Stegostoma tigrinum: one gene and its partner. The protein of the gene in region 2 purifies or fractionates together with the protein of the main gene of each other region. This does not show direct contact. Links are inferred from orthologs where the notes say so. Each region holds a gene or a part of one and is shown on either strand. Other genes may lie near its edges.

The links.
Region 1: the proteins of pam16 (region 2) and dnajc19 purify together in Homo sapiens (affinity purification with mass spectrometry; 3 studies listed by BioGRID and IntAct, with this or other methods). This does not show direct contact. The link is inferred for Stegostoma tigrinum from reciprocal best matches to the Homo sapiens genes PAM16 and DNAJC19.

The regions. Positions count from the first base shown.
Region 1 is NC_081367.1:47,470,878-47,481,726, reverse strand, and holds the start of dnajc19 (mitochondrial import inner membrane translocase subunit TIM14), read right to left. Parts: upstream 4,008-10,849; 5' UTR 3,835-4,007; coding exon 3,832-3,834; intron 1-3,831. UniProt on the Homo sapiens protein: Mitochondrial co-chaperone which forms a complex with prohibitins to regulate cardiolipin remodeling.
Region 2 is NC_081376.1:33,329,143-33,339,296, forward strand, and holds the start of pam16 (mitochondrial import inner membrane translocase subunit tim16), read right to left. Parts: upstream 4,932-10,154; 5' UTR 4,796-4,931; coding exon 4,793-4,795; intron 4,535-4,792; coding exon 4,450-4,534; intron 1-4,449. UniProt on the Homo sapiens protein: Regulates ATP-dependent protein translocation into the mitochondrial matrix. Inhibits DNAJC19 stimulation of HSPA9/Mortalin ATPase activity.

The DNA of each region.
Region 1 (10,849 bases), on a different chromosome or scaffold from region 2:
GATAGACCAAAGGATGCAGCGGTGTGGTAAATAATAAGAAGGGAGTGAGGAAAGAATTCTCAATATTAATTACAGATGCCATGAAGTCTCAGGGCACAAAATCAACGGTGGACAAAGAAACTTATTTGACTGCCACATTGTTTGTGGGTCTTTATCCATCACCAAAACTGGGTTGGTACTGTTATAGTCTGAAGAAGTGCTTGAGACCTAATAGAATAAGGAATAGGTGATAGATGTATTTATTAAGGGTGAATTGGGTATGATTGGTATATAAAAGAATGGGAAGCTAGTAATCAGAGGGATGAGTGTGAGGTGATTTGAAATTAGGCTCTCAAGTGTGGATTTGAACAGTTTAAATAGTTATTTTTTTAGGCATAATACTGGTAGCAGAGGACGGTGGTGTCAAAATATAAAATTTTGGGATATGATTACCTATTCCTGTTTTTTAAAGTATGAGCCCTTTTTTAAAAAATCTAATCTTAAATGAATAATACTACTTTTCTTCTCTTTCCTATAAACCTCCATCTGTCATCTTGTTGTCCTCATGTACAACCTGTCTATAATTTTCTGCCTTTGTGCCCTGCACAGTTAACTTTCCCATTTAGTTATTGCCTCAGCAAATTTGGACATTTTATTCTTGGTCTCTCGGCTAAAGTCAATCAAGACTGTAAACAGTCTCAAATTACTCATTTATCCCTACTTTCCGTCCAATATCCAATCTTTCCACTGCCCAGTATTACTCCCAACTCCATGAGCTTTTGCCTTTACTGGAGTATTAAACTCTCTTTGGAAACCCAAAAATATTTACTAATTCCTCCTTATCTATTTAAGAGTTACATCCTCAGCAAAAAACACTTTTCAAAAACAAGTTCACTTTCATAAAACCATACAGGCTTTGTTTGATCCTTCTGATCTATTTTTTCACATGCACATGCATTCTTAGGTTTTTCTTTAGTAATCAAGCCTAGCATTTTTCCAACAAATGACATCAATCTTATTAGCTTCTAATTCCCTGTTTTGACTCCCTTCCTTCTTGAAAGAATGAGTTATATTTAAATTCTGATCTGCTTATTCTGTTCAAAAACTTATGGATATCAGAAAATCATAAGCAGCATATTCATCTGTACTCTTACCTCATTCTTACCAAATCTACTTGATGCAAATTTTAGCTATTTAGGATGTACTGGTTGGAGTGACCACCAGACTTAACAAAACATTAACTCTCAGATGCTGCTAGACCTGAATTTCCCAGCACTTTGTTTCAAGTCACTTATTAGTCCAGTTTGAACTCAATTCTGCTTTTCAAATAGAAAACCAATAAAACTGCATTTCAAAATAAACACTACAAAGTAGTAACTGTTAGCATTACCACTATTCTAACATCAGGTATCCATAATATTCCTGACACATATTCCCTTCGCTTGTCAGAATTCCCTCCGATACATTCCTCCTCTATTTCCAACATCTCCATGCACTCCTACATCACCCTTCCATGCAATGGCAGAAGTAATATTACATGTTTACATCCTCATCCAAAAAGGTGAAGTAGTGATTTACTTGTACTTCATTCAATCTAGTCTCATGTATTCGATATTCACATTGTCTTCTCTACATTGTGGAGACAATGCAGGCTGGATGACCACTTTGCAGGACACCTGCAAAAGTGACCCCAAACTTCCAGTTGCCTGTCATTTCAACACACCACTGCATTCCTACACCAATTTTCCTAACAGAGGCCTGCTGTAGTCTTCCAACCAGCCTCAGCACAAGCTCAAAGAGCGGCATCTCATTTTCCACTTTGGGACGCTGCAGCCCGTATGATGCAACACTCGAGTCCAATAACTTTAAGAGCCTGATATCATCCTTCCCAAGCTGTTCCTGCCCGATTCCATACTTTTCACCAACCCCACAGCCAGATACATCGTTTTTAACAGTCACCCATTCCTACATACTCCTAGGCACATTATCACATTATATGGAGCAAGAAGGTTGGCATTTTGGGTTGGGACCCTGCCTCAGAAATGGGAAGGGGGAATGGAGCTCAGAAATAAATGGAGAGAGGAAGGGTAGGCTAGGGATGGCAGGAAAGATAGTGATAGGTGAGTGCAAGCAGGGAGTGGTGGGGATTGGTCAGTGAGGTGGAAGGGGCAGATAGGCGGGTGAGAAGATGAAGAGGTTGTGAGAGGCCAAGGAGGCAGGGGAGAGGGGAGATTTTGAAACTGGTAAAAATCTACATTTACACCACTGAGCTGTACACTTCTGAGTCGGAATATGAGGTGCTGCTCCTCCAGTTTGCGGGTAGCATTATTGTGACACTGGAAGAGGCTCCGGATGGACACATCACCCAGGGAGTGGGAAGGGGAGGTGAAATGGTTCACCACCGGAAGGTGTTATCGTTTGTCACGAACAGAGTGCAGGTGCTCTACAAAACAGTTTCTGAGCCTCTATTTATTTCTGAGCGCCCTTCCCCATCCCCATTTCAGTCCCAACCTGAAAAGTCAACTTTTCTGCTCCTCTGATGCGGCACACCTGCTGTGTTCCTCCAGCTCCAGACTATATTATCTCTGACTCCAGCATCTGCAGTTCTTATTATCTCTGATCACATTATACGGGTTGCATTCAGCATATCTAGCCCATCTTCTCACTCAGCTCTTACCACTTATTCAGCTTTTCTTCTGTCCTGGCTGGCTACCCGTAATCTGGTTTACTTACACCTTCCGTATGTCTGAGCTCCATCTCCACCTATCCACTTACCTGACTCCTTCCCACATTGGCTTCAGCGTAAATACCACTTTTTCCTAGCTACTAACAGTTCTGATGCAGTGTTTGGACATCAAAACATTAACTCTGCATTCTTCCCACAAATGCTGCCAAACCTGAGTTCAGCTCTGATGAAGGGTCTAGGCCCGAAACATCAGCTTTCATGCTCCTGAGATGCTACTTGGCCTGCTGTGTTCATCCAGCTTCACACTTTGCTATCTTGGATTCTCCAGCATCTGCAGTTCCTATTATCTCTTTCTCCAGCAGTCTGTCTTTGTTTCAGATCTCCAGCATCCACAGTTTTATTTTTTTTTTAAATATTATTGTAGCATCACTCCAGAGAGCCATACAGCACAGAAAGAGATCTTGTGGTCCAACTCATGCTTGCCAACCAGGTATCCCACTCTGACCTAGTCCTTTTCCAGCATTTGACCCATATCTGTCTAAATCTTTCCTATTCATATAACCATCCAGATTCCCTTTAAATTTTGTAATTTTCCCCTCCAGGTGCTCCAGTTTCCTCCAACAGTCCAAAGATGTGCAGACTTGGTGGAGTGGCCATGAAAAATTCCCCGTAGTATTGAGGGATGTGTGGATTAGGTGGGTTATAGGAGGCTGGGTATGGATGGGATGTTGAGAGTCGGCGTGGACTTGCTGGGCCGAAGTGCCCGTTTCCACACTGTAGGGATTCTATGAACTTCCACCAGCAGCTCATTCCGTACAGACACCCTCTGCGTAAAAATGTGACCCTTTTAGTCCTTTTTAAGTCTTTCCCCGCGCGAATTAAAACTAATTATCTCTAGTTTTGGACTCTCCCACCCTAAGACAAAGACCTTGGCTGTTCACTTGACCCATGTCCCTCATGACTCAGTCACATGGCCCCTCCCAGCGTGGAGGCTCAGTGCCCTACCAAAGCATCTCCTCATCGAAATGTCGTGAGAGGCAAAGACACAAGATAACTGCAAACCTGAACCTATTTTAAAAGTAGTCTCAATTCTCTGCAGTGAGTGTGCAATCTGTTCCTTTAAATTGCACAGAATCCAGTTTATAGATTTAAACCATTTAACTTACCATTTTTAATCGTAAAATGGGCTATCTTTTAGAAATAAAGACAAAAACTACGCGCTGACATTCTATTCGGATTTCCTTTTCGAATCACAGTGAAAAAGACACGTGACCAAAGCTACCGTTTGTCGTACATCGACTTTTGTAGTCGTGAAACGTGTCCGTCGTTGGCGTGCCTGCCTCCTTTTGTCAGCCGGTCCTGTGATTGGTGAATTTCCCGTGGAGGTGGGGGGAAGTTAGAACGGCCTGTGCGTACGAAGCCCCGCCCCTTCACGTGGGGGGCGGGACGCTGTCAATCAGGCGGTGTGTTCTCACCTATCGTCTGTCGTAGGTGTGATATGATCAGAGATAACGAAGGCTACAGTGAGAGCGACATGTCCTGTTGAGGAAGTCAGATGCTTCTAACAGTCGGAACTATGTGAGTGTTATTAAAATAAAATGGCATTGCTTACGTTAACTTTTTTTGCTAAGTGTAAAACAACCCTCGTCAAATTTCTATTTCAATATGTGACTTCAATGGAATCTCCATAATTCAGAGCCAATCTTACTTATTAGGGGGAATATACTGGAGGACCTCGGCCGGTCTGTCAGTATCTGTGGAGAGAGAAGTAGCCCTAACGCTTGGAGGAATTATTCTTCTTTAGGCCTTCGTTTTTAATCAGGGAGAACTTGAGAGAAAGGAAAATGACGTGTACTCAGGAATTGGAGTCTAATTTCAGTGTCTCAGGGTACCTTCTGTAAAAACACGGCAATCTTTAGATTGCCCAGTAAACTCCACTAGTCCTATTACTGTTTTAAATGTATTAGAATTAAACATTAAAATGCAGTCTCCGGATCAACCGAGATGACTCAGGATGCGCACCAAAATCACCCGATTATCTGTGATCATTGCATACCTGCTGCTTCTGACATAAACTGCCTGATTGACAGCGACGTGCTCCGCAGGTGAAATTCCGTTGCACAGAACCCTGCACAAAAATCTGTAATTCTAGGTGAGCGCTGCTGACGCAGACAGTTTTGATTTATGTCCCTGAATTGTTACCCAGGATGTCAGGCAGAAAATTCCCACAACTGACCCACCCAATAACTCAGACTGCTCCTAATTCGCAACTGTCCTCCCTTGCAGCCTACGCTTTGATGATTGCCCCCACAGAACATCGAGACCAATAATGCAAGATAACAACGTGTGGAGCTGGATGAACACAGCAGGCCAAGCAGCATCTCAGGAGCACAAAAGCTGATGTTTCGGGCCTAGACTCTTCCTTTTTAAGCTTAGTTGGTTATTACATTTTATTGTATCTACAGTTGCCTTTGTCAAATTGTGTATCTAACCATTATATTGACATCAGTTTACTTTGTTTCCTGTAGGAAATTAGAACATGTTGGAGGAAATCAAGATTATAAATTTTGATATTAATTTTGATCATGACATCATAACTTTTGTTGATTTTTCTTCCACAGGGTGCCTTTTCCAAAGTTCAGAACTTTTCTTGTTTCTAGGTAAAATATGAAAATGATGTTCAGAATGCAGGAATAACAGAATATAACACACACATTGACAGAAATATAATCACAACAACATGCATGATTTCATTTAGTTAAACCACATGAGCAGTAAGACAGTACAATTCTTTGATATCATTTACCAGAGCATGCAGTAAATCATACCACTTGCTGCCATTCTTGATTGACTCATATTTCAATATTAAGCTTTTTCGTACTTGCCCAATTTTCTGGTATAGCAACTTCATTTCGTGGTTACCTTGAAGATTAAACATAAACTTAGTTTCACACATTCTTTCAGAGTGTAACAGTTCTGTCTCTTGAGTTATTCTTCAGCTGTATGGAACTCCTGTTGCAAGAAGCAGTGATTTTGGAACTCTGCAATAGCACAGTTTTGATTCCCTCCATCTATAACTTCATAAGCCAGCATTGTTGATTCTGCAAAGTAATAAGTGAGATAAGATGGCTTCAAAAACTTTTAATTTGGGGTCTGTTCTTAGCTGCAAGAGAGTCCAAAATGGAGTTTCTGGAGAAGGAGATCAGACCTAATGGGAACTGAAATGCTGGAGTATCCAAGACAACAAAGTGTGGGGCTGGATGAACACAGCAGGCCAAGCAGCATCTTAAGAGGAAATGGAGACGCAGCTTGAGGTGGGAGTGGGGGCTAGGAGAGGGGAAGCACAGGTTAGGCAGGCAGGGACGAGCTACCACAAAAAGTGTTACACCTGCCCCCACACCACTTCCCTCACCCCCATCCCATGCCCCAAGATGACTTTCCACATCAAGCAGAGGTTTACCTGCTCATCCACCAATGTGGTATACTGCATCCACTGTACACGGCGTGGCTACCGCTACATTGGGGAAACCAAGCAGAGGCTTGGGGACTGCTTTGCAGAACACTTAATGGTTCGCAGTAAACAACTGCACCTCCCAGTCACGAACCATTTCAATTCCCCCTCCCATTCCTTAGATGACATGTCCATTCTGGGCCTCCTGCAATGCCATATTGATGCCACCTAAAGGTTGCAGGAACAGCAACTCATATTCCACTTGGGAACCCTGCAGCCCAATGGTATGGATGTGGATTTCACCAGCTTCAAAATCCCCCCCTCCCCCCACTGCATCCCAAAACCAGCCCAGCTCGTCCCCGCTTCCCTAACCTGTTGTTCCTCTCACCTATCCCCACCTCAAGCCGCACCTCCATTTCCTACCTACTAAACTCATTCCACCCCTTTGACCTGTCCATCCTCCCCAGACTGACCTATCCCCTCCCTGCCTCCCCACCCATACTCTATCTTCAGTCCGCCTCCCCCTCTCTCCCTATTTATTTCAGAATCGTCTCCCCATCCCCCTTTTCTGATGAAGGGTCTAGGCCCGAAACATCAGCTTTTATGCTCCTGAGATGCTGCTTGGCCTGCTGTGTTCGTCCAGCTCCACACTTCGTTATCTGGAGGAGTTTCTTTTAGAAGTAAAATACTGTGACTTCCTGTAAGCCTGAACTGAAAGCAGAAAATGCAGCAGAAACTCAGCAACTAAAGAATCATATCAGACTTGAAATGTTAACTCGGATTCTCTCTCCATAAATGCTGCCAGACCTGCTGAGTTTCTCCAGCATTTTCTGTTTTCATTTCTTGACTGGTTTTCTTGGCTGTAGCATTAGCTGAGAAATCTGGTGGTCTTCATTTGCCAAAGAAATAAAAGTTAATGAGGGGATCAGATTGTGAACAGAACAGATGTTCAGTTTCGTTTAGGAAAGGGAGAACAGTTGAGGATATTTATGAAATGGAGCTTCATGTGGGAACAGCTATGGAAAGAAGCAACAGAAAGCTGGAAGAAGAGATAATAGGAACTGCAGATGCTGGAGAATCCGAGATAACAAGGTTTAGAGCTGGATGAAAACAGCAGGCCAAGCAGCATCTCAGGAGCAGGAAAGCTGACGTTTCGGGCCAAGGCCCTTCTTCAGAAATGGGGGAGGGGGAAGGGGTTCTGAAATAAATAGTGAGAAAGGGGGCAGTGGATCGAAGATGGATAGAGGAGAAGATAGGTGGAGAGGAGACAGACAAGTCGAAGAGGTGAGGGTGGAGCCAGTAAAAATGGAGTGTAGGTGGGGAGGTAGGGAGAAGATAGGTCAGTCCAGGAGGACGGACAGGTCAAGGGGGCGGGATGAGGTTAGTAGGTAGGAAATGGAGGTGCAGCTCGAGGTGGGAGGAGGGGATAGGAGAGGGGAAGAACAGGTTAGGGAAGCGGGGACGAGCTGGGCTGGTTTTGGGATGCAGTGGGGTGGGGTGGGGGGGGAAGGAAGGGAGACTTAAGTTTGTGAAATCCACATTGATACCATTCGGTTGCAGGGTTCCCACGCGGAATATGAGTTGCTGTTCCTGCGACCTTTGGGTGGCATCGTTGTGGCACTGCAGGAGGCCCAGGATGGACATGTCATCTAAAGACTGGGAGGGGGAGTTGAAGTGGTTTGCGACTGGGAGGTGCAGTTGTTTATTGCGAACCGAGCGTAGGTGTTGGACTCTGGAAATGTGTGTCTTTTGCTGCACAACGTAACCCTGGAACTCAGGGAAGCATTAAAAAACTTACCTCAGAAGCCACTTGCCAACTGAATCCAATAAAAATGAAGGAATTGAAAGTGTATCTGGAAATATTGGAGAAACTCTGCTTGAGATTAATGCCACGTGTGCTGTTGGGGGTTGCTTTAAACCTACAAGAGTAATCTTGTGTTGGCTATTTAAAGAGTACACCTTAGTTTCTAGTGAATACAGTTCACCTCAATTTGATTGTTTTATTGAACAGAAATAGACATAAGAACAAAGTTTTAAAAACTTATGATTTTGGTTGATACCATTTCTTCTGTTAGTGTAATTTGGGAAATTATATCCTGTTGTGGTTTTGGTCTTCACAGGGTTCATAACATAAGGAACAATGTAAACTATTTCCCTCACACTTCCTAACATTGTTTTAAACAATTAAAACATTTTAGTCCTTTTTTGTATGCCGTTTAACAGCATTTCCTATTTGCTGTCTTCCTTACATTCAATTAATCTCTAAATTTTGATTACAGGTATTCACCTCTGAAAGATGCCAGTGGCCCAGATAGGCTTTTTTAAAAAAAAAGTGACAGACAGTTCCATGGTTAACATTGCTAAGATTAGCATTCCATTCCAGTACACTAGGATCAGTGACATGACCACAGTAACTCTAGTTTCTGGGGATCGCAGTTGAATAGTGGATTGCAACAAAAAACAAAAGAGAAAACTGAAATTTTTAACCTGTCTGCACTCAACCAGATGAGTTTTAAACTGCAAGAAAAATGTGAACCACAAATATCTCAATCTTAAATTATCATATTCATAACTGAACATACGTTACTTCCCTAATTCTACCTACTAGCTAAGAATTGAAAGTGAATCTAAGCATTTACCAGGCAAATTGTTCTATTAAGTATCAATATATATCCAACAGCTGGACTGCATGCAAATTATAAAATACATATTCGTGAAAAAGAACAAACAAGGTAACCTGCTCATCAGAAACCACAAGCTCCTGGGGAAGGCTATCAGACCTTAGACTGAAAGTTGAAGTCAGAGTTAAATTAACCTATTGAGGTGTTCAAGAAAGAGATTCGTCTCTTGTATAGGAACATGATTGAGATCTGTAAAGGTTCATTTTGGAATAGTAGGATGATATTTTGTCTCTTTGAAAATGTTTAAACTTAATGTTCAGTGATTTATTCAATTTCGTTTTCACCTTGTTTTATCATTGAAACAAAATCTGCTTATGTTTTTGTGAAAGAACACCCTGTCAAAAAAAAACTCAATAAAACAAATCTATCAAGCCAGGTTTCAGTCTGGGATCTTGCCCAGTGATAACATCAGCTGGAATCACAACACTGCAGGTCAAAATAACTGTAAAGATCTGAGTAGAAGATAATACTTTTGAGATAAAAAAAACAAGCTTTCAGAAAGATTCTCTGGTTTGGAGAGCTTTGCAGAATTTTGAAGTTTAGGGATGGTTTGGCCAGTTAAACTACTGCTGAATTATTTGTTTCTGAATGTGTAGATTTCTCATCCGCATCTTCCCTACCTGCTAAGGACAAATATGTCGAGCAGACAGTATGCATTCCTTCAACAATCTCCACATTTCTATAGTGCTCTTCCCTGACAGCATCTGTTCCCGTTTTATGTTATGTTACCCAGTTCTTGCCTAACAGAATTATAATTACCCTTCCCCTAATTATAAACATTACCCTGCTGTATGTACCTATCCTTTTCCATGACTATTGTAAAAATAACAGAGTTATGATCGCTAACACCAAAATGCTGTCCTACCAACAAGTCTAACACTTGGCCTGTTTCATTGCCAAGCACTAAATCCAAAGTGGCCTCTCCTCATGTTGGTCTATATACATACTGTGTCAGGAATCCTTCCTGAATACACTGGGCAAAGCCAAACAGAGACACGCATGAGAATTCCTAGAAGGATGGCATTCAAACCAGAACTCCATCAACAAACACATTGACTCCAAATCAATTGACCACCCTCTGAGAAAGAACAGGAAATGATATCACCAACCCAAGGAAACCTAAACAGATAAATAGAAAGTGGGACATAACACCAGCACTTCAGAGGCTCACTGTTGATGTTACCTAGAATGGTGACTGATTATTTGGGAACAAACCTTCCAGCTCAGTGAACCAGCTTACATCCGGAACAAAATAAAGACCCACTCTTTTGTGGACCGAGAGGAGGAGAGCATGACTGTGTTGGAGGTGGAAGGAGGGAGTCGGGTTGGCAGTGCACCCTTGCAACCGGTGGATCTTAATGCTGGCTTTGGCTTAACGCTGGTTCGGGGAGCAGCCAACCTGCAACGATGACTGCAGTGAGTGCTCGTGCCCCAGGTCAGGGGGTCCGGAACACCATCCGTGTTTCCGTGAAGAAGGTGGATGAAGGTGCACCTGTGGACCGCACCTTCTTCGTGAAGAGGGTCCTGTTGGACTGTTGAGGGTTCGCTGCTGCGGACATTTACTGCCTGCAGGATTTCTCTGGAGGTTTTTACGATGTAACCTTCAGGAGTTCCAAGCTTTGCAAGCGCTTCCTGGAGGTTTTCAAGGAGAAAGGTGGTGAGGGCCCCCTCTCTGTATTGACTGCTGTCCCGCTGTTCATGATGCCAGCGCAGAGGAGCCGTATGGTGACTGTACACGTGTACAACCCGCATGTGCCAGCAGTTGATGTCCTGACCTTCCTTGGAAGGTACGTGAAGGTGGAAGGGGACCTAACCGACATCGTGGACCCCTTTGGCATCTGGACCAGTAAGAGGCAGGTCAAGGTGACGCTGAGGTTGGGCGTGGACAGGAACATTGTACACCCACCGTCCAGCTTCGCGATTGGCAGGAGCAAGGGCTACCTGACTTACGCAGGGTAACCTAAAGTCTGCCATGCCTGCGGTAGGTCAGGTCACGTGGCGGCTGACTGCAAAGCCACCATCTGCAGGGAGGAGGGAAACCTTGCAAAGGAT
Region 2 (10,154 bases):
TAAAGCTTCCACATCCTTCCTATGATGATGCAGCCAGAACTGAACACAATATTTCAAGTGTGGTCTAACCAGGGTTTTATACAGCTGAAGCATAACCTCGCAGCTCTGAAACTCAGATCCCCTGTCAATGAAAGCCAACACACCATACAGCTTTTTTTCAATCCTATCAACTGGGGTAGCAACTTTGAGGGATCTGTGGATGTGAACCCCAAGATCCTTCTGTTCCTCCACACTGCCGAGAATCCTGCCATTAACCCTGTATACGGCATTCAAATTCAACCTTCCAAAGTGAGTCCCTTCACATTTTTCTGGGTTGAATTCCATCTGCCACTTCTTCGCTCAGCTCTGCATCCTGTCAATGTCCCATTGCAACATACAACAGCCCTTCACACTATCCATAACTCCACCAAACTTTGTGTCATTGGCAAACTTACTAACCCACCCTTCCACTTCCTCATCCAAGTCATTTATAAAGATCACAAAGAGCAGAGGTCCCAGAACAGATCCCTGCGGAACACCACTGGTCACTGAGCTCCAGGCTGAATATTTTCCATCTACTACCACCTCTGTTTTCTATTGGACAGCAAGTTCTGTGTCCAGACAGTCAAATTTCCCTGAATCGCACGCTCTTTACTTTCTAATGAGCCGACCATGGAGAACCTTATCAAATCCACACACACCACATCCACCGCTCTGCCTTCACCAATGTGTTCTGTCATATCCCCAAAGAAAACAATAAGGCTTGTGAGGCATGACCTGCCCCTCACAAAGCCATGCTGACTATTTCTAATCAAACTGTGCTTTTCCTAATAATCATAAATACTATCTCGCAGAATCATCTCCAATAATTTGGCCACCACAAAAGTAAGACTGACTGACCATGTTACAGTCATGGTTTGTTTTACTCTGACATCATTCATTAAACTTGCCTCATTATACATGATCAGATCCAAAATAGCTCAAACTCTGGTTGGATTCACACAATATTGTTCTTGGAGACTCATTTATTTATTACATAAGGAATTGAGTATAGGAGCAAAGAGGTCCTTCTGCAGCTGTACAGGGCCCTGATGGGACCGCACCTGGAGTATTGTGTGCAGTTTTGGTCTCCAAATTTGAGGAAGGACATTTTTCCTATTAGGGGAGTGCAGCGTAGGTTCACGAGGTCAATTCCCAGAATGGCGGGACTGTCATATGTTGAAAGATTGGAGCGACTGGGCTTGTATACACTTGAGTTTAGAAGGATGAGAGGGGATCTGATTGAGACGTATAAGATTATTAAGGGATTGGACACTCTGGAGGCAGGAAGCACGTTTCCGCTGATGGGTGAGTCCAGGACCAGAGGACACAGTTTAAAAATAGGGGGTGGGCCATTAAGAACAGAGTTGAGGAAGAACTTCTTCACCCAGAGAGTGGTGGATATATGGAATGCTCTGCCCCAGAAGGCAGTGGAGGCTAACTGTCTGGATACTTTCGAGAAAGAGATGGTTAGAGCTCTTAAAGATAGTGGAATCAGGGGTTATGGGGATAAGGCAGGAACAGGATATTGATTGTGGATGATCAGCCACGATCATAATGAATGGTGGTGCTGGCTTGAAGGGCCAAATGGCCTACTCCAGCACCTATTGTCTATTGAATTGTTCTTCATGCCTCCCTCTATAAATCTATCGCAATCTACAAGAAAATTAAAGTCACCAACGGTAATATACCACCTTTATTAAGTGTCTTTATATCTTACTTCATTCATTCCCTGTCGACTACATAACTATTGTGAGGGGGCCTATAAACTACTGCTAACTATATTCTTTCCATTTTCCACTACCTCATCCAATTCCATAAGACATAGTAGTGGAAGTAAGGCCATTCGGCCCATTGAGTCCACTCCTCCATTTAATCATGGCTGATGGGCATTTTAACTCCACTTCCCTGCACTCTGCCCGTAGCCCTTGATTCCTTGTGAGATCAATAATTTATCAATCTCTGCCTTGAAGACATTTAATGTCCCGGCAGGCCCACCACTCTCTGGCTGAAGAAATGACTTCCCCATTTCCGTTTTAAATTTACCCCCTCTAATTCTAAGGCTGTGCCCACAGGTCATAGTCTCCCCACCTAATAGAAACAACTTCCTAGCGTCCACCCCTTCTAAACCATACATTATCTTGTAAGTTTCTATTAGATCTTCCCTCAACCTTCTAAACTCTAATGAATACAATCCCAGGATCCTCAGCCGTTCATCGTACGTTAAACCTACCATTCCAGGGATCATCCGTGTAAATCTCCGCTGGACACGCTCCAGCACCAGTATGTCCTTCCTGAGGTGCGGGGCCCAAAATTGGACACAGTATTCTAAATGGGGCCTAACTAGTGCTTTATAAAGTCTCAGAAGCACATCACTGCTTTTATATTCCAACCCTCTTGAGATAAACGACAACATTACATTTGCTTTCTTAATCACGGACTCTATCTGCAAGTTAACCTTTAGAGAATCCTGGACCAATATTCCCAGATCCCTTTGTGCTCTGCTTTACGAATTTTCTCACAGTTTAGAAAATATTCCATGCCTGTATTCTTTCTTCCAAAGTGCAAAACCTCGCATTTGCTCACGTTGAATTTCATCAGCCATTTCCTGGACCACTCTCCTAAACTGTCTAAATCTTTCTGCAGCCTCCCCACCTCCTCAGTACTACCTGCCTGTCTACCTAACTTCGTATCATCAGCAAACTTCGCCAGAATGCCCCCAGTCCCTTCATCCAGATCATTAATATATAAAGTGAACAGCTGTGGCCCCAACACTGAACACTGCGGGACACCACTCGTCACCGATTGCCATTCCGAAAAAGAGACTTTTATCCCAACTCTCTGCCTTCTGTCAGACAGCCTATCCTAATCCAAGCCAGTAGCTTACCTCAAACACCATGGGCCCTCACCTTACTCAGCAGCCTCCCTTATCAAAGGCCTTTTGGAAGTCTAGATAGATAACATCCACTGGGAATCCCTGGTCAAACCTACTTGTTACTTCCTCAAAGAATTCTAACAGATTTGTCAGGCACGACCTACACTTACTAAATCCATTCTGATTTGTTTTAATCTGACCCTGCACTTCCAGGAATTTAGAAATCTCATCCTTAACAATGGATTCTAGAATTTTACCAACAGGGCGGCACGGTGGCTCAGTGGTTAGCACTGCAGCCTCACAGCGCCAGGGACCCAGGTTCGATTCCAGCTTCGGGCGACTGTCTGTGTGGAGTTTGCACGTTCTCCCCGTGTCTGCGTGGGTTTCCTCCGGGTGCTCTGGTTTCCTCCCACAGTCCAAAGATGTGCAGGTTAGGTGGACTGGCCGTGCTAAACAGCCCGTAGTGTTCAGGGGTGTGTGGGTTTTGGGGGGAATGGGTGTGGGTGGGATGCTTCAAGGGGCAGTGTGGACTTGTTGGGCCGAAGGGCCTGTTTCCACGCTGTAGGGAATCTAATCTAATAAACTGAGGTTAGGCTAATTGGCCTATAATTTTCCATCTTTTGTCTTGATCCTTTCTTAAACAAGGGAGTTACAACAGCAATTTTCCAATCATCTGGGACTTTCCCAGACTCCAGTGACTTTTGAAAGATTACAAAGAAAGCCTCCGCTATTTCCTCAGCCGCCACCCCCAGAACTCTAGGATGTAGCCCATCGGGGCCAGGAGATTTATCAATTTTTAGACCTTTTAGCTTTTCTAGCATTTTCTCTTTTGCAATGCCTACCTTACTCAACTCTGCCCCCTGACTCTCCCTAATTGTTGGCATACTACTCATGTCTTCCACTGTGAAGACTGACGCAAAGTACTTATTAAATTCTTCAGCTATTTCCTTATCTCTCATCACTAGCCTTCCAGCATCAATTTGGAGCGGCCCAATATCTACTTTTGCCTCTCGTTTGTTTCTTATGTATTGAAAGAAGCTTTTACTATCATTTCTAATATTACTAGCTAGCCTACCTGCATATATGATCTTCTCCTTCCTTATTGCTCTCTTTGTTATCCTCTGTCTGTCTGTTTTTGTAGCCTTCCCAATCTTCTGATTTCCCAGTGCTCTTGGCCACTTTATAGGCTGTCTCGTTTTCTTTGATATATTTCCTAACTTCCTTTGTTAGCCATGGATGTCTAATCCCACCCCGGATAATCTTTCTTTTTGGGATGAACCTCTGTGTACTGTGTCCTCAATCACACCCAGAAACTCCTGCCGTTGTTGGTCTACTGTCTTCCCCGCTGGGCTCAGCTAGGATCACAGGGGTTCACTGAAATCTTTCCCCATCAATATCAGCTCTGGTTTGGGGGTTAACACTCTCGCTTGCAACAGCAAGTCGTGGCTTGAAGCCCCACTCCAGAGGCATGAGGCCCTGTGTTAATCCTGTCAGTAAACAACAGGACATCAGATCAGCTTTTAAAAAGAAATCTTCAGGCCTCTCCAATTACTTACCAGCCATTTCCTGCCTCACTGCCCGGGCAAATGCTCTCCCCACCACTTGGGCTCCAACGATGATGATCTGAACCAAGTATTTGGCCTGAACACAAGCAGAGAGAGGGCGGATGGTTAGATCCCAGTAATTGAGCAGCAGCTCACTGCACATCCAGGTCCGGAACCCCCGGCCCGGGGCCGAAACCCCGCGGATCAGCGGCCCCGGACACCCCCGCAGGATCTCTCCCCGGACGGCCCCACCGCAACCACCCCCCGGGGTCCCGCCGGACGGCCCCACCGCAACCACCCCCCGGACGGCCCCACCGCACACCCGCCCGGGGCTCCCCCCGATCCGGTTTCCCACCATCGCCCGGCGCCGGCTCCGTTCCTCCAGGAATATCCGGGAACCACGCGCTGTGTCAAGGACGAGTCAGGGTCAAAGGGCAGAAGCCGGTTTGCCGGCACCTGTCCCTCTGCGGACACATGAGAAGACCCGGACGATGTCACTCAGCTGGCGTGAGCGCCTCCCTGCTGGATTGGAGGACGCATGCATCGCCCCCGAGGCAGACAGCGTCCCCTGGCGGAGGCAAAGAGCACAAACTGCAGCAAGATTTCTTGGAAGTTTCAGCTTCTTTCCCGCTTCTCCACATTAAAACCTTGGTAAACTGGCACATTATTATTATTATTATTATTATTATTATTATTATTATTATATATTATATATATATATTATATATTATTATTATTATCATCATCATCAACAATAACTGTCAAAGTTAAAAAGATAAGAATTAATTTACCAGCGTTGTGGGGTACAGACAATTTGAATCAGATGTTAATTGCAAAAGTAAGACTTGAGAGCCAAAGTGTTTTTACAGCCAAATGAGACATTAAATTTAAGGATGAATTCCTCAGTGGCCTCAAGAGGTTGAGCAATTGAACTGGGAATGCTTATGAGATCAGCACAAGGATATTAAAATCACTGAGGGTTGTGGAACTGGGGATGGGGACGTAAAGGAACTTAAAACAAGGATGAGAATTTTGAATCAGAGATAATGGGAACTACAGATGCTGGAGAATCTGAGATAACAAAGTGTGAGGCTGGATGAACACAGCAGGCCAAGCAGCATCTCAGGAGCACAAAAGCTTTTCTGCTCGGCCTGCTGTGTTCATCCAGCTACACACTTTGTTATCTGAGAATTTTAAATGCCGAGGCGTGGCGTAACCTGGGGCCAATGTAAATTGGGAGACGGGTGAGTAAGGAAACAGCAGGGTTTTGAATGAACAAAAGTTTGGCGAGAGTAGATTAAAACTAAGAACTGCGGGTGCAGGAAATCTGAAACAACAATGGAAATTGCGGGATAAACTTGCTGCATCTGAGGAGAGAAAGCAGAGTCAACAAAGGGCCACCGGACCTGCAGAGTTTCTCCAGCAAATTTCTGTTGTGTTACTAAATGGAGTATGCGGAACGCCAGCTAGGAGTGTGTTGGGAAGTAACAAAATGCACAGATGAAGATTTCAGCTGCAGATGAACTGAGGCGGGACAAATGCAGGCAATGTCGCGGAGGTGGAATCGGGTATTTTTACTGAAGGCTGCGTCGGAACCTAATACTCCGGCCAAACAATGAGATTAATGTTGCAAGCAATCTGGGTTCGCCTCAATGTCCATCGTGAGTAATGAAATCAGCGACTAAGGAGCAGAGTTTGTCACAAGTACCTGACAATGATTTTGGTCTTCACTATTTTTTTGGGAGTAAACTGTTGCTCATTCAGTACTTGATGTCAGATGAATAGTCTGGTAACTGAGCATCCGTGGGTGGGGTTGAGAAAGGTGATGGTAAACTGAGAGCTGGGTGCAGCCAGGGAGAATGCAAGGCTGCGTTTTTGGATGATGTAAATAAAGAGCAGTATGTAGATGTAAAATGGGTCTTCGAGGGATACAGGTAAAGTGGGAGCCGGAAGAAAAGCTGCTGCCCCTGATTGGCTGGCTACAACTGCGTAGAAAAGATGGAACCCGCTGAGAACAGTCCCAACTCCTGAATGACATTGCAGAGGAAGTGGAGGAGGATGGTATGGGCAGCTAAGTTAAAAGAGCGTAGACGGGTTGAACACAGATAGTTTACCTAAATCATAATCACACAGGATGCCACAGAAGAACAAAGGCAAAGAGTACAGTTTTAATTCTGGCAGACAGGCTCGAGAACATGTAGATTTTGAAAGTCCAGTTGGAATGTGGTCAATTTAAGATGTAATTCGATACTTCGCATGAGAAGGATATTTCCAAAGAGGCCTTGGACCATTCCTTGTTCCTTATATGTCTATACTCCTCAGTAACAACAGAAAATACAGTAAAGCCATTGCTGCAAACTGGGACATTAACCATATTTCACTATTTTTTAGTTTTGGTGAATTTTGCTGTTCAAGTTCAGTGTTTTACAAATTCATATTTCTTGTATTGTTCTTCAAAATCTTTTAAAGACATGAAGCATTGATGTCCTGACAAGCCTCAAGTGCCAAGTTCAGTCAGTTTGCAGCCATGCGATACATGCGGCTAGATCGTGTACGGCAGCAATAGAATGACTGGGTCAAAGTTCAGTTGGTTGTTCAAGGAAAATCTAGCTCAATGTGTTTTGGCTCCAATCTTCTTTCATCCAAGTTTGGATTTAAGTAATCTCATCTGTGATTCCATCGTACAAATATAAATTTTATAAGATGTCAACTGCAAGAAAGAATTGAATTTCTATGCACCTTTCACAATTTCAGGTCATCCCAAATTTTCTGAAGTCGATGAAGTAAATTTGAAGTGAAGCAAGGAAATTTGGAGCATATTTGTGTAAGGCAGGTTCCCAAAAACAGTTATGAAATACAAAACTGCATTATTTGTTTTAATTATATTGGTTGAGGGACAAATATTGGTCTGAATATCAGAAAGAATTCCTTCGACTTCTACAAAGTAACACAGTGGGTTCTTTTACATCCAATCAAGGGAGCAGAGTCTTGGTTTAAGCTGAAGTTGGTGTCTTAAGACACTGCAGCGTTCCCTCGTACAGTATATGTGGAATCCATCTGGGCTATGGGGTTGTCTGAGGAATGGGACTTGACCACACAATCCCTAATTACCCTTGAGAATTTGTTGAGCCAATTTCTTGAACCATTACTGCTTTCAGGTTTATGGATGCCCATAATGCAGGGGAGTTCCAGGATTTTGACACATGGACTGTGAAGAAATAGTGATGTAATTTGAAGGCAGCATAGTGTTAGCTTGGAGGGAACCTCATAAGTGATAGGGTGCCTGTTGCTCCTATTCTGGATTGTGAAGTTTTGTTGGAGGATTCTTGATGTATTATTGTGTATTATTGCAGTGGTCTTGTTGCGGTACATAGTATTGCCACAGTGTGTGAAATGGAGCGAGCGTTGGAGGTGACTAATCAATCAGTTGGACTGCTGTATCCTGGAGATTGTTGAGCATCTTGAGTGCTGTTAAAGCTGCACCCATCTAGGCAAATGGGGAGTGTTCCATCACACTGACTTGTGCGTTAAAAATGATATACATGCAGGAATTCCTCTCCTCTAACCTGCTCTTGTAGCTTCAGTATTTAACATGGCTAGTCCATTCAGTTTCTGGTCAATGGTAGCTCTAGAATACTGACAGTGGGGAGATTTAGCAATGATAATGCCATTGAATGTAAAGGGGCAATGGTTAGATTCTGTATTATTGGAGATGGTTATTACCTGGCACTGTGGCAAATAAAATGCATGTCAGCTCTAGCCTGATACTGTCCATTTTTCAACATGGATTGCTTGAGTACCTGAGGAACTGTAAATGGTGAACGTTGTGCAATCATTATCACACATCCCTATTTTTGACCTCACGAAGGAGGGAACATAGAACATTACAGCACAGTGCAGGCCCTTCGGCCCTCGATGTGCCAACCTGTCATGCTGATCTCAACCCCATCTAACCTACACTATTCCATGTACGTCCATATGCTTATCCAAAGACGACTTAAATGTACCTAAAGTTGGCGAATCTACTACCGTTGCAGGCAAAGCGTTCCATTCCCTTACTACTCTCTGAGTAAAGAAACTACGTCTGACATCTGTCCTATATCTTTCACCCCTCAATTTAAAGCTATGCCCCCTCGTGCACGCCGTCACCATCCTAGGAAAAAGGCTCTCCCTATCCACCCTATCTAACCCTCTGATTATTTTATACGTTTCAATTAAGTCACCTCTCAATCTTCTTCTCTCTAATGAAAACAGCCTCAAGTCCCTCAGCCTTTCCTCGTAAGACCTTCCCTCAATACCAGGCAACATCCTAGTAAATCTGTGATAACGGGAACTGCAGATGCTGGAGAATCCAAGATAATAAAATGTGAGGCTGGATGAACACAGCAGGCCGAGCAGCATCTCAGGAGCACAAAAGCTGACGTTTTGGGCCTAGACGCTTCAAGCTTTTGTGCTCCTGAGATGCTGATGGGCCTGCTGTGTTCATCCAGCCTCACATTTTATTATCCTAGTAAATCTCCTCTGCACCCTTTCCAAAGCTTCCACATCCTTCTTATAATGCGGTCACCAGAACTGTACACAATACTCCAAGTGCGGCCGCACCAGAGTTTTGTACAGCTTCACCATAACCTCTTGGTTCCGGAACTCGATCCCTCTATTAATAAAAGCTAAAACACTATATGTGTTCTTAACAGCCCTGTCAACCTGGGTGGCAACTTTCAAAGATCTGCGTACATGGACACCGAGATCTCTCTGCTCATCTACACTACCAAGAATCTTACCATTAGCCCAGTACTTTGCCTTCCGGTTACTTCCACCAAAGTGCATCACTTCACACTTGTCTGCATTAAACTCCATTTGCCACCTCTCAGCCCAGCTCTGCAGCTTATCTATGTCTCTCTGCAACCTACAGCATCCTTCGTCACTATCCACAACTCCACCAACCTTAGTGTCGTCTGCAAATTTACTAACCCATCCTTCTACGCCCTCATCCAGGTAATTTATAAAAATGACAAACAGCAGTGGACCCAACACCGACCCTTGCGGTACACCACTAGGAACTGCTCTCCAGGATGAACATTTCCCATCAACTACCACCCTCTGTCTTCTTTCAGCAAGCCAATTTCCGATCCAAACTGCTATATCTCCCACAATTCCATTCCTCCGCATTTTGTACAATAGCCTATTGTGGGGAACCTTATCGAACGCCTTGCTGAAATCCATATACACCACATCAACCAGTTTACTCTCATCTACCTGTTTGGTCACCTTCTCAAAGAACTCAATAGGGTTTGTGAGGCATGACCTTCCCTTCACAAAACCGTGCTGACTATCCCTAATCAATTTATTCTTTTCTAGATGATTATAAATCCTATCCCTTATAACCTTTTCCAACACTTTACCAACAACTGAGGTAAGGCTCACTGGTCTATAATTACCAGGGTTGTCTCTACTCCCCTTCTTGAACAGGGGAACCACATTTGCTATCCTCCAGTCATCTGGCACTATTGCTGTAGACAATGACGAGTTAAAGATCAATGCCAAAGGCTCGGCAATCTCCTCCCTGGCTTCCCAGAGGATCCGAGGATAAATCCCATCTGGCCCAGGGGACTTATCTATCTTCACCCTCTGAAGGATTTCTAATACCTCTTCCTTGTGAACCTCAATCCCACCTAGTCGAGTAGCCTGTATCTCAGTATTCTCCTTGACAACATTGT